Regions from separate parts of the Mus musculus genome. Here regions 1 and 2 are each reported to be linked to region 3. The links are microRNA targets in miRTarBase. Many come from high-throughput screens and were not tested one by one. Region 3 holds a microRNA gene; each other region holds the end of a gene's coding sequence. Distances are between the middles of the regions.

Region 1 (3,000 bases), 91 Mb from region 3:
GATGGGAACGCTAGGTTTTGTAACGGCGACTCAGCATTAAACCTTCCTTTTTCTTTGAGTCCTCGAGAGGCAACTGCATGGGAAGCAGTGGACTAGCCCTGGCCACAAGCCAGGCTGCTCTCTGGTGCGCCTTACACTACATTTTTACACACGAAAGAATACGAGCCCACGGGCAGAACTAGCTTTATTAGACGGTTTTACAGAAAGACGCCAGATTACTTTCTCTGCTACCTAAGGTACAAGGTACAGCATCCAGATTATTCTAAAACATGCTCGAGCGAAGTCTGTATTCAAGATGAACTTTAAGATGGGTTTTCTCTTAGAGCAAAGGGAGGTGCTCCATGGTACATCTTCTAAATGAACGTTCCTGCAGTGAGCACACCCCCTCCCTGCTGGCGGAGGCCCTGGCTCCCTGGGACACTTTCTGTCTGGGATTTAACGTGCCAACTTGCTTCCAGGAGGCTCTTCCTTCAGTGGCCTCTATGTTCATGCCTGAACTCACGCTGGGCTACCATCCCTAGCCAGTACAGACTTCACACTGCAACGTTCACAGCACCACTGTCTGATATGAGGGAAGTCACAGCTGAACATGGATAGAGTCCCATAACTAGACTGCTTACTGTGAGAAGATGAGAAATTCAGCAAGTGTTAACTTCCTGGCAGATATATACATAGAAAACTCAGTCCTAACTGGGATCAGGCTTTGACGTCCAACTTGAATGGCAATGGTGCCAGCCTTGTAGTGTGAATTCTGGTCTCTCTGCCCCTGACCTGGCCTTCCTGTGCCCGACTTTCACCATCTCCCTTCACTTCCGGCATTTTGGCAATTCCAGGCTGGTTTTGCCAAGGAGGCAACTGAATATACCAGAGCAAAGCATGTACAGTCTCACGAGGATTATACATGTGAAAGAACACAGAAAAGGACTACCCAGTATAAAAATATAAATGATAACACATCAGCAAGTAGAATATAAACAACCTTCTGAGAGTAAAAGGTGAAACTGCATCCAACTAAGTGCATATCAACTCCTCCTAGGCACTGTGTGGTAACCGCTATAAATGATCTGGGTGCCCATGCTCTGAAACTTCAACCCTTTTCCTGTGAGCACACTTAGTGATCAGCCTCTAACGGCGCTCAGCCAATTCCTGTCTGCCCAGTGTCTACCTTTAGCCCCCACCTCCATGTCACACTGGGAAGTTAGGCACAAATACATTAATGGCTTTAGTGCTAAACACTGGATGCCTAGGCTATTCCTTAATAAAGCAACTAGAAGGAATAGGTTTAAGATAGTCCTAAGTCGTGTAAAAACTCTACCTCATAAATGGCAGATATTAAAAAGACCTGGTTGGGTGTGTGACAGCACACATCCACAGTCCCAGACAGTCAGGAAGCTGGGCCAGGAGGATCACGAGAGCCTAGATGACATAATGAGCCGGGCGGAGGAGCAGCTCAGCGGTAGAGTGAATGTCTAGCATGCACAGGGCTGTGGGTTCAAAGCCCACCCTGCAAACTAGCAGGACCCTTCCAGCTTCCTCAGCTCTGTAGGAGGACTTCTGTCATTGTGGTGGTCGCTGACATGGTTGGGATGTGTGTTCTGGGACTGCATGAGGCTCTGGGAAATGCCACCCTTCAACAAACACCCTGCTATTCTTGAAAATCAAAACAAGGTGGAGTCAATTAAAGTAATTTAAAGTTGAAGACATTCTGGATAAAGTGCTTCCTCAACCAGTCTCTAGAATCATCTGTCCCTGGTGTGGTTATGTGTGTTCAGAAAAATGTCAACAACTTAAGTCTTTAAAAACAGCAATCTTCGTAAGTGGAGCAGTGGTGGTGCACTGCCTTTCATCCCGGTACTCTGGAGGCAGAGGCAGAGGCAGAGGCAGACAGATCTCTGAGTTTGAGGCCAGCCTGGTCCACTATAGGGTGGATGAAATTGACTCGGAAAGACATTTTCAATAATAAGCAGTTTCTTGGGAGGCTGTAGGTGACTATAAGAAAGCGGGTGCTTCTATGTTGCTTCTCTTTAAAGTTTATCCTCTTCCTCAGTAGTAACCGGCATCGATACCAACAGCAAGGAGCAGGCCATGCTTCTCTGACAGACCCAGAAACGAGCCACCCCTCCATTCTTTCGTCTTCTAGATGACATAATCTGGACACTGTGCCACAGGGCACTTTTAAATGATGCTGCTGGCCTTCTCGCTGGCATCTGGATGGTCAGTCTCATCAAAACCAGCCCAGCTGAACGATGCCATGACATTGTGGCTCATTTAAATCCCCCGTTTTCTATGTAGCAAACCAACAGCTTTATAAACTCAGACACACTTTGTTTTCGGCAGTGCAAACATTCTGAAAGAGCACAGAGTCCTCCAGCTATAGAGGATAAAGTCAGTTCATGTAGTGCTTGAAGGAGAATTCCAGCTACTCTGGAATGGAGACGGCCCAGGTGTGACTTTGTCCTTAGAGGCAATGCCTATCTTCAGGGAGTGAGGACTGTTTCTCATCTGAAGCCACTCGTCTTTAGCTTTATTTTGCAGTTCCTGCTGAAGTTCAGGAGCCAGTCCTTCACTGCGGCATGTAGCCACCTTGTCTTACAGTCTGTGGCAAGTAACTTTTGGGAATTTCTTCATCAATTGTGGTCTCCATTCCAACAGATTCAAATCTCTCCATCTGTCCATCAGCCCCCGTGCCAAGAGCATCCGCTGTAGAGCCTTCCTGAAACAGCCTCCGTTGCTCGGATCCATAGGGCTGAGAAATGTGATCTGAAACCTGCTGCTGCTTCAGTCTGACAAAATCCTCCTCATTGCCGGACAAAACCTGGTTTGACCTTTCAAAATGTGAAATCTCTGGACAGGCTTCAGGCTGACTGCAGTTCTGCTTGAAATACGGTTGCCTGGGCAAGATCTCATCCCCACCGTCTACACTATCCACCAGCTGCAGGTCTTCTGGCCGCTCCTCCGAGTCTAGCAGGGGCTGGGTGGACTCGGACCTTGAGAACACTT
Region 2 (3,000 bases), not on the chromosome of region 3:
CTGTGAGCCATGATGTTTCCTGCCATGACAATAATGAACTAAACCTCTGAACTGTAAGCCAGCCCCAGTTAAATATTTTCCTTTATAAGAATAGTTGTGGTCATGGTGTTATTTCACAGAAATAGAAAATCAAACTAGGACAACAGTTACTTTAATCCTTGTGTCTGAAAGTCCAATATATAAACCCCCTCTGGCTCTCTTCTATTTTCCTCTGAGGTAAGGCCTCATATAGCTCAAGCTGGCCTTTTATTCTCTGTGTAACGGAGGACCTTGACTCCTCCTGCCTTCACCTCCCAAATGTCAGAGTTATAAGAATATAACACCATACCAGGCTCCTTTTTTCCTGCTACTTTTCCTTTTTTTTTTTTTTTGATTTATTTATTATATGTAAGTACACTGTAGCTGTCTTCAGACACTCCAGAAAAGGGCATCAGATCTCATTACAGATGGTTGTGAGCCATCATGTGGTTGCTGGGATTCAAACTCAGGACCTTCAGAAGAGCTGTCGGCGCTCCTAACCGCTGAGCCATCTCTCTAGCCTCTTCCTGCTACTTTTCAATTATAAGATACTATTTCCTGCTGGTGGCCCACACCTTGAATCCCAGCATTTGGGAAGCAGAGGCAGGCAGTCTCTGAATTTGAAGCCAGCCTGGTGTATGTATGCGTTCCAGGCCAGCTACAGCTACACAGTAAGACAGTGTCTCCAAACAAAAACAAACCAAAAGAGATCCTGACTCCTGTTGTGCCTAGCAAGTTTTGATACAAGTCTGGACATTACATATGAAAACTTGAGATAGCCTTTGGCTCTCATTCACCTGTAGGATAACCGCAAACTGTATTCTATAGGCAATATCTGGTTTGTCACCTGCTTTTTGGCCTGGCCTTAAGAATTTTGCTGAATTTCTAAATAGTTGAAAGAACATTTGGTGACACATGAATGAATTATGATTCATACTTTAGTGTGCATATGAAACCTTATGGGAGGGTAATCATATTTACATATTCATCTATCAGAGGTTCAGGAAGACACCTGCATTTGGATCTTAGTTGACATTTAGTTCTTGAGGGGACTGGTCAATTTATGGCTTAACTGCACCATTAGTTGTAACTAAAAGCCAGGTACTAGCCAGGCTGTTAGTTGATGGGCCCAGTACTACAATTTTGGTACATCCTCTACAGTTTACTTTCTCCTTAAGTTCATAGATCTTCCAAAGCCTTGCTGCTTCAGTACTGTCTTGAAGTACGCTAACCTGTGCCTATGTGTGTGTGTATGTGTGTGTGTGTGTGTGTGTGTGTGTGTGTGTGTGTGTGTTGCAGCTTTCCTAGTATGAACAATCAAGAAATCAGACTGCTGTTGTGGAGACAGATGTTCAAATGTTTGTATTTCCACATTTTTCAATGGCTTCCACTTATTTTGCAGAAGGAAGTACCTGGAGAGCTTTGCTGGGTGGGTCCTACCTGATCTAAATAACTACACAAATGAGAGTCAAAACAAATGGTCAGAAGCAGCAGGCAGGAAAACAAGTTTACCTTGTTACTATGATGCCAGCACACCAACAAGCATATAACTTAACACTTTAAAGAAATACATGCATGCTGGAGGGAGTCAAACTTTAATATTTTATTAGTTTTGAAATTGAGGTATATTGACGTGGAAAAACACTCATTTTTATGCTTCCTTTGATGAGTTTTGACACACACACTCCTGACGTTTTCAGTCATGGCCACAGAACATCTCCAGTATCCCACACCAATTCCTGGCCTCTTCTAGGTTACTTTGCTCTCCACAGTCAAAACCCATCAGATTCTTATCCTCACATTAATTATAATTTTTAGAATGAGTTGAATTGTTACTACTCTGCCCACACATTGCCATGAGTCTTCAGATGCTGTGAATATATTTTCCTGAGTAGAGTTGACTTCTCCAGACCCCAGAGTCTTTTCTTTTGAAACAGAGTCTCCGTAGTCCCAGCTGGACTCAAACTCATGGTGATCTTTCTGCCTCCGTCTTTCCAGTATTGGACCTAAAAATATGGGTCTCAAACCAGAAGCTCAGTTATTGTTTAAAATTGGGGCTGCTTGTTAACACTGGTTTTGCTCACAACCGTGATGACACATGGCTAGATAACTGGAGCTATCTGATCGGTTTGTTTGTTTTTTCGAGACAAGGTTTCTCTGTATAGCCCTGGCTGTCCTGGAACTCACTCTGTAGACCAGGCTGGCCTCGAACTCAGAAATCCGCCTGCCTCTGCCTCCCACGTGCTGGGATCAAAGGCGTGCGCCACCACCGCCAGCTTATCTGATCATTTTGGAACACCAAAATACTTAAAAATTAATTGTAGAGGGAGGGGAGGGGAAACTTTGGTTTCGGGTGTAATGTATGAGAAAAGAATAACAAAATGAACTGTAGAATATAATTTCAGTGGCAACTCATATTATCTCAGTGTGCAGTAGACTTTGAAATATTCAGGGGAGCAGCACCCTCAGTTCTCAGATGAGGAAAACGGTCGCCAAGCAGTCATCCAGAATCTATTAGCCTTTGGTGCCAGGGCTGGGTTTTTCTTTTGCTTAATCCACCATCCTTATAGATATGAACACCGAGTCTGTAATTCCAAAAGTCAACTTTCTTGTTTCTCCTCTGAAATTTCATAGGTTACCCATTCCTTCCATCCTCCAGCATAATGTTGAGCACTGAAAAGATACATTAGTAAGTGTTGCTTCATAACAGAAGAGCTTTGCAATAGCCACTCATAAAAATTATTTAGATTCTACATCTCTTTTAAAAAAACTTGTCTTTTGGTATAGCATTGGAAATGTAAATGAGCTAAATACCTAATTAAAAATGGGGAAAAAAATTTGAGTACATTGGAAAGACACAAGCTCTTGGTCCCCATATCACATTTATTTATTTATTGATTGGTTGATTGATTGATTGATTTACTGAGCATTGGGATTACAGCCATACACTACCACTGCCTGGTTATACTGCTTTTATTAACA
Region 3 (4,672 bases):
CAACCATAAGCCATGTTTAGCAGTCGGGTGCTGGGCTTGGGAAGACTCCAAGCTTATTACTTTTCATCACTAGCAAGACAGTCAATATGACCTGATGGCCATGATCTCTCCGAGCTGATTTGATTTGCATGGTCAAAATAATATCAAAACAAGTAGCATTTAAATTTGCATCATTGGTATCAAAGGGGGAAAACCCCATTTCCCCCCATGGGACATTCATGAAAAAAGGTGTCCTTCAAGCAGTCACTGTACTGGCACTGTTGCTGCCCAGTAAGGAGGTCGCTGCTTAGAATACTTCAACACAGTTCACTCAAATGACTCAAAGTCTCTTGCATAGTTTAGGTAAAACTTTGATTTATAATTTGAAACACTGTGATACTGTGGTTAAAATGGGCAGGAAATGTAAAATGACATGAGCTAATCCTAAGGGTAGGTTCTATAGTTAAACAGCAAAAGCTTTCAGAAATGCATTCATTGATGGTACAAAGGTAAAGTGGATATGAAGCCAGTGTTTGTGTGAACCTAACAGGGAAAATGTTCAGTTAACCTACGTTAGACCCTTGAGGATGTGTATTTCTAAGCATTATTAGATTTATTTTGGGCTTAAAAATATTTTACCAGTTGTGTGTGTGTGTCCACCAGTTTCTGTGGACCACTGTGTACAGAAGCCTGAGAAGGCTAGCAGATCCCCAGAACTGGAACTGTGAGACGCTGTGCTATGGAGGTGCTAGGAACTGAAAATGGATGGGTCCTCTGCAAGAGCAGGTATGTTAACTGCTAACTCTAGCTCCTTAGGATTTGTCTTTTCACATGTATGATGTTTGCAGGTATGGCTCTACATACGTATGGACACATGTGCACTTAGATTATCATCAGGAGTCTTCCTCAAGAACTCCACCGACTGCTCTCCAAACTCCCTCCCCTGAGTCCAAAGTTTGCTGATACAGCTAGTCTGGCTAGCCAGCTTGCTAGAAAGATCCCATTTTTGCCACCTGAGGGGTGGGACCACAGGCCACAGGCTGGCCACATACTCATTTGACTTTACATGGGTGCTGGGGATCCAAAACAGTCCTTCCACTTGCATAGCAACTTGGTTAAACCACTGAGCATATCCCCAACCCTCATTAATTTTATGTTTTAGGAGCCTGTTGCTACAGTACTTACAAAAATATCAGCTTGATCTTGTCCTGTATAAATCTATAGGCACTTGACTTACTGATTTCAAACACTTCATTCACACATAAAGCTAATACTTAAGAGATACATAATCAAGTACTTATCACACTGAAAGCTCTGAGAAGCTCTGTAGTGAATATTTGTTTAACTCTGATTCTGCTATTCTGGTAAATTATTATAGTCTAATTATGACTTTAAGTAAAGCCAAGAGAGGGACACAACGGAGGCAAATGGCTTCCAAGAATCCTGAAGCCGTCGTGAGTTCTTTCAAAAGGCGCTGTTTGCTTATCAATGTAACATTTCCATGTTTCAAACAGAGAACCTCATCAAGCCAGTTTGCTTTTATGGTGATGTCTCTGATGCTGAAAGAGACCAGACTTCTGCCTGAAGGCTTCATTGCATTCACTGCACTTGTAGGGTTTTTCTTCATTGTGGATTCTAACATGCTGATCTAAGTGTGAATTTAGGCGGAAAGCTTTCTGACACACATTACATTTGAAAGGTTTTTCTCCAGTGTGAATCCTATGATGTCGAATAAGGTCGGAGGTCAAGCTGAAGGCTTTCCCACACTCATTACAGTGATGTCTTTTGGAACGACCATGGACTCTCTGATGGTGGGTGAGGAGGAGGGCCCGACTAAAGGTTTTCCCACACTCCTTGCATTCTCGGGGCTCATCCTGACTGTGAATTTTTTGGTGTCGATTAAGATGAGAGCTTCGCCTGAAGTTCTTTCCACAATGGATACACAGATAGGGTTTTTCTCCAGTATGGATCCTGAGATGCTCCAAAAGACCTGCATTCTGGCTAAAGACTTTTCCACACTCTTTGCACTGGTAAGGCTTCTCCCCAAGATGGATTTTCTGATGTCTGATGAGGTGTGAACTTCTCTGAAAGACTTTCCCACACTCTTGGCAGGGATGACCTTTGTCTTTAGAGATTTCCTGATGGTCAGCAGCAACAGAACTCTGAGATCCTACAGATTCCCAGGACATTTCTCCTGTATGTGCCCTGTCATGTTCAATCAGGCCTGAGTTCTGAACAAGTCTCTCCTTAGTTTCCAAGCATTGGCTGTTAGTTTTTTCCTTGGGCATGGCTGGATTCTTTTTCAAGCTCAGGTCCTCACACTGGGCCTCAATGGGTTCAGTCATGGTACAAGATGATTCCATTCTTCCACAAGAGTCTGTCCCTGCAATGAGATTCCCATTCTCACTCCTTGTCTCTTTACCTGAAATAGTAAATATATATATCACTAATTATTTTATTTTTGGTGTTCAGGGAAAGGAATCTGCAAATAGCAGGAAATACTTAAATAAAGCCATGTGTATAAATGTAAAAACATGTTATGTGTGTTTTATTTGCATGTATGCATGTACACAACATGCATGCAGTGCCAAGGAAACCGTAAGAGGCTGTCCAGTTCCCGGAAACTGGAGTTACAGAATGTTGTGAGCTGCAATGTAGTTGACAGGAACTGAAACCAGATCCTCTGTAAAAGTTTTCTTAAGAGATGAGATCGCTTCAATCCTCACAAAGTAAAAAAACAACAACAAAATTTTGCTCATGATTATTTTATATATATATAAAGAGTGATTTACAAGAAACTGTGGTTTTGTTTGTTTTTTTTGAGGTAAGTTTTCACTATGCAGAATAACATGGCCTAACCTAATCCTCTCCTCTCAGGTCCCACAGTTACAGCACCACCACGTCCAGCCTGACATCTGGGAAAGTGTTAACCAGATTGGCTTTGGGGAAGGGCAGGGGTTGTGGTGGGAGGTGATTTATTTTAAATGTTCTATATTTTATTATGTGACATATGTTACACACACAGAAGCTACTAAGCATGACTGCATATTCTTGATCATGATTTGTCACCTGGGAAACAAAAAAGCACCATAAATCAGGTCACCCGAGGACCATCAAGTTAAGCAGGGAAGGTACTTTGACAAATGAAGATGAGTTGACATGGTGCCAATTTTATCACTGAGTAGTATGTAATCTTGGAAAAAGTGTTTACGTTCTTAACAATAAATCAACAGTACCGGGAGCATAAGACCTTGAGAATAATGCATTCACAAAAACATCATGTTGAAATATGATTTGTTCCCCTCAGAGGGGATCTATAGCAGATTCAGGGCACAAAACAAAACTTGGCTCTTTAACTATGGAAAGAGAGAAAGAAGCCAGAAACTGGAAGCTAACTTCCCGTGAGCGAGCAGGCGAGGACACTGACCCAGACAGTGAGTGAATGGGGAGCCTGGAGCAGGGGATAGAATGAATGAGGCAGGAGGGAGCCAGAAGAGAGAAACAGGAAGGGGAAATGGAAACAAACAGGCCAACAGAGTGCGGGTGAGTGGGAGGCGCAGCACAATTCGCTATTGCCTGAGGAGAGCGAAAGCTCTATCTCTCGGTTCCTCTTCCCAATGTGGCCACAGTACTTCATGTGAAAAAACAGAATAGCATTTCCCAGTTCACTAAGGGATCTAAGCAAGGAGAGACATCTATACATTCGTATTTAAGTGACAGAGAAGACTACAACATAACTTAGTGAAAGCATCAAAGACATTAGAGAGTTCAAGGCCAGCTGATCTACATAGTTGTAGTTGAGATCAATCAGAGCTGCACAGGAAGACCCTGTGTCAAAAAAAAAAAAAAAAAAAAAAAAAGAAGGGGGTGGGGAGGGGAGGGAGGGGAGAGAGAGAGAGAGAGAGAGAGAGAGAGAGAGAGAGAGACTGAGACTAAAAGTAAGAAATAGAACAGTAACAAAGCAGAGCCAAAGAAACTGATTAACACCCCACCCTCAGCACTGCCATTCACAGTGATTTGAAGGAGCTAGGAAAGGGAATAAGGAAACTCTGTCTGAGACTTTTTTGCCTCAGGGAAGAGCAACAGGTAGGCTCAGCTCCACTTCTTGGTGTGTTGTTCATTCAAATTGTTTGGAGTTGTAGATCTTTTAAATCTTGACTGTGTTACTAAGTTTATTGTATATACAAAAACAAACAAAACAACAACAACAACAAAACAAAAACCTGCACTGACTAGAGAGGCTACAGTTTAGATTATGTATACAAATTAAGCCACAACAGGCCTAATAAAAACAAATACCAAAATGCCGAGTGCCAAGGCAGAGGCACTGCATGGCCTACCATAATTCAAATGCAAAAAGATGCCATTTGGTTCTTACCTCTCTCCTCAGGCTTCTGAGGAAGCGCACACCCAGGCTGCTCCCGTGCTTCCCTGCGAGGGGCTGGCTCGCCAACCAGCACCGTTGGTCTGCTTCTTTGGGCTGAGTCCTAGAGATAAGTACAGATAATTAGGAAACCGGTTTACAAAAAAAACCACTTCAATGTCAGAAAAGAGAACAAAGAAACCTTTCAAGAGGCTAAGAAGAGGCAGAACGGAGAGCCTCCTTACACTTCAGCCTCACCGGGGATGGCAAGGGTGAGGCGAGGCCCACACTGACCAGCAGTGAGCAGTGCCCCGCCCGCTGCTGTGCTCA

What was found. Region 3 holds the annotated microRNA mmu-miR-1896 (CUCUCUGAUGGUGGGUGAGGAG, at 1,781-1,802, shown strand). A microRNA usually pairs through its seed, bases 2 to 8, with sites in the 3' UTR of a target mRNA and lowers its output. Matches are read on the target gene's strand: a 7mer-m8 pairs with bases 2 to 8, a 7mer-A1 pairs with bases 2 to 7 and ends in A, and an 8mer does both.
Region 1: miRTarBase lists Il6st as a target of mmu-miR-1896. Seed matches in the 3' UTR shown: 8mer at 2,090-2,097, 7mer-m8 at 1,890-1,896 and 7mer-A1 at 221-227.
Region 2: miRTarBase lists Tstd3 as a target of mmu-miR-1896. Seed matches in the 3' UTR shown: 7mer-A1 at 2,172-2,178.

The regions. Positions count from the first base shown.
Region 1 is chr13:112,504,009-112,507,008 of GRCm38, reverse strand. It overlaps Il6st (interleukin 6 signal transducer), which reads right to left. Exons shown (of 17, transcript NM_010560.3): 17 at 149-3,000. The coding sequence ends at 2,564. Among named protein-coding and RNA genes, the nearest start is that of Il6st, 41 kb to the right of the region's middle.
Region 2 is chr4:21,755,785-21,758,784 of GRCm38, forward strand. It overlaps Tstd3 (thiosulfate sulfurtransferase (rhodanese)-like domain containing 3), which reads right to left. Exons shown (of 4, transcript NM_029840.1): 4 at 1,598-2,691. The coding sequence ends at 2,619. It also overlaps a transcript of Ccnc not described here. Among named protein-coding and RNA genes, the nearest start is that of Tstd3, 9.9 kb to the right of the region's middle.
Region 3 is chr13:21,443,429-21,448,100 of GRCm38, forward strand. Mir1896 (microRNA 1896) reads left to right here and starts at 1,732; the gene lies at 1,732-1,812. It overlaps Zscan26 (zinc finger and SCAN domain containing 26), which reads right to left. Exons shown (of 6, transcript NM_001347491.1): 5 at 4,358-4,466; 6 at 1-2,401. The coding sequence ends at 1,503. 4930470G03Rik (RIKEN cDNA 4930470G03 gene) reads left to right here. Exons shown (of 4, transcript NR_151504.1): 3 at 643-765; 4 at 1,494-3,402.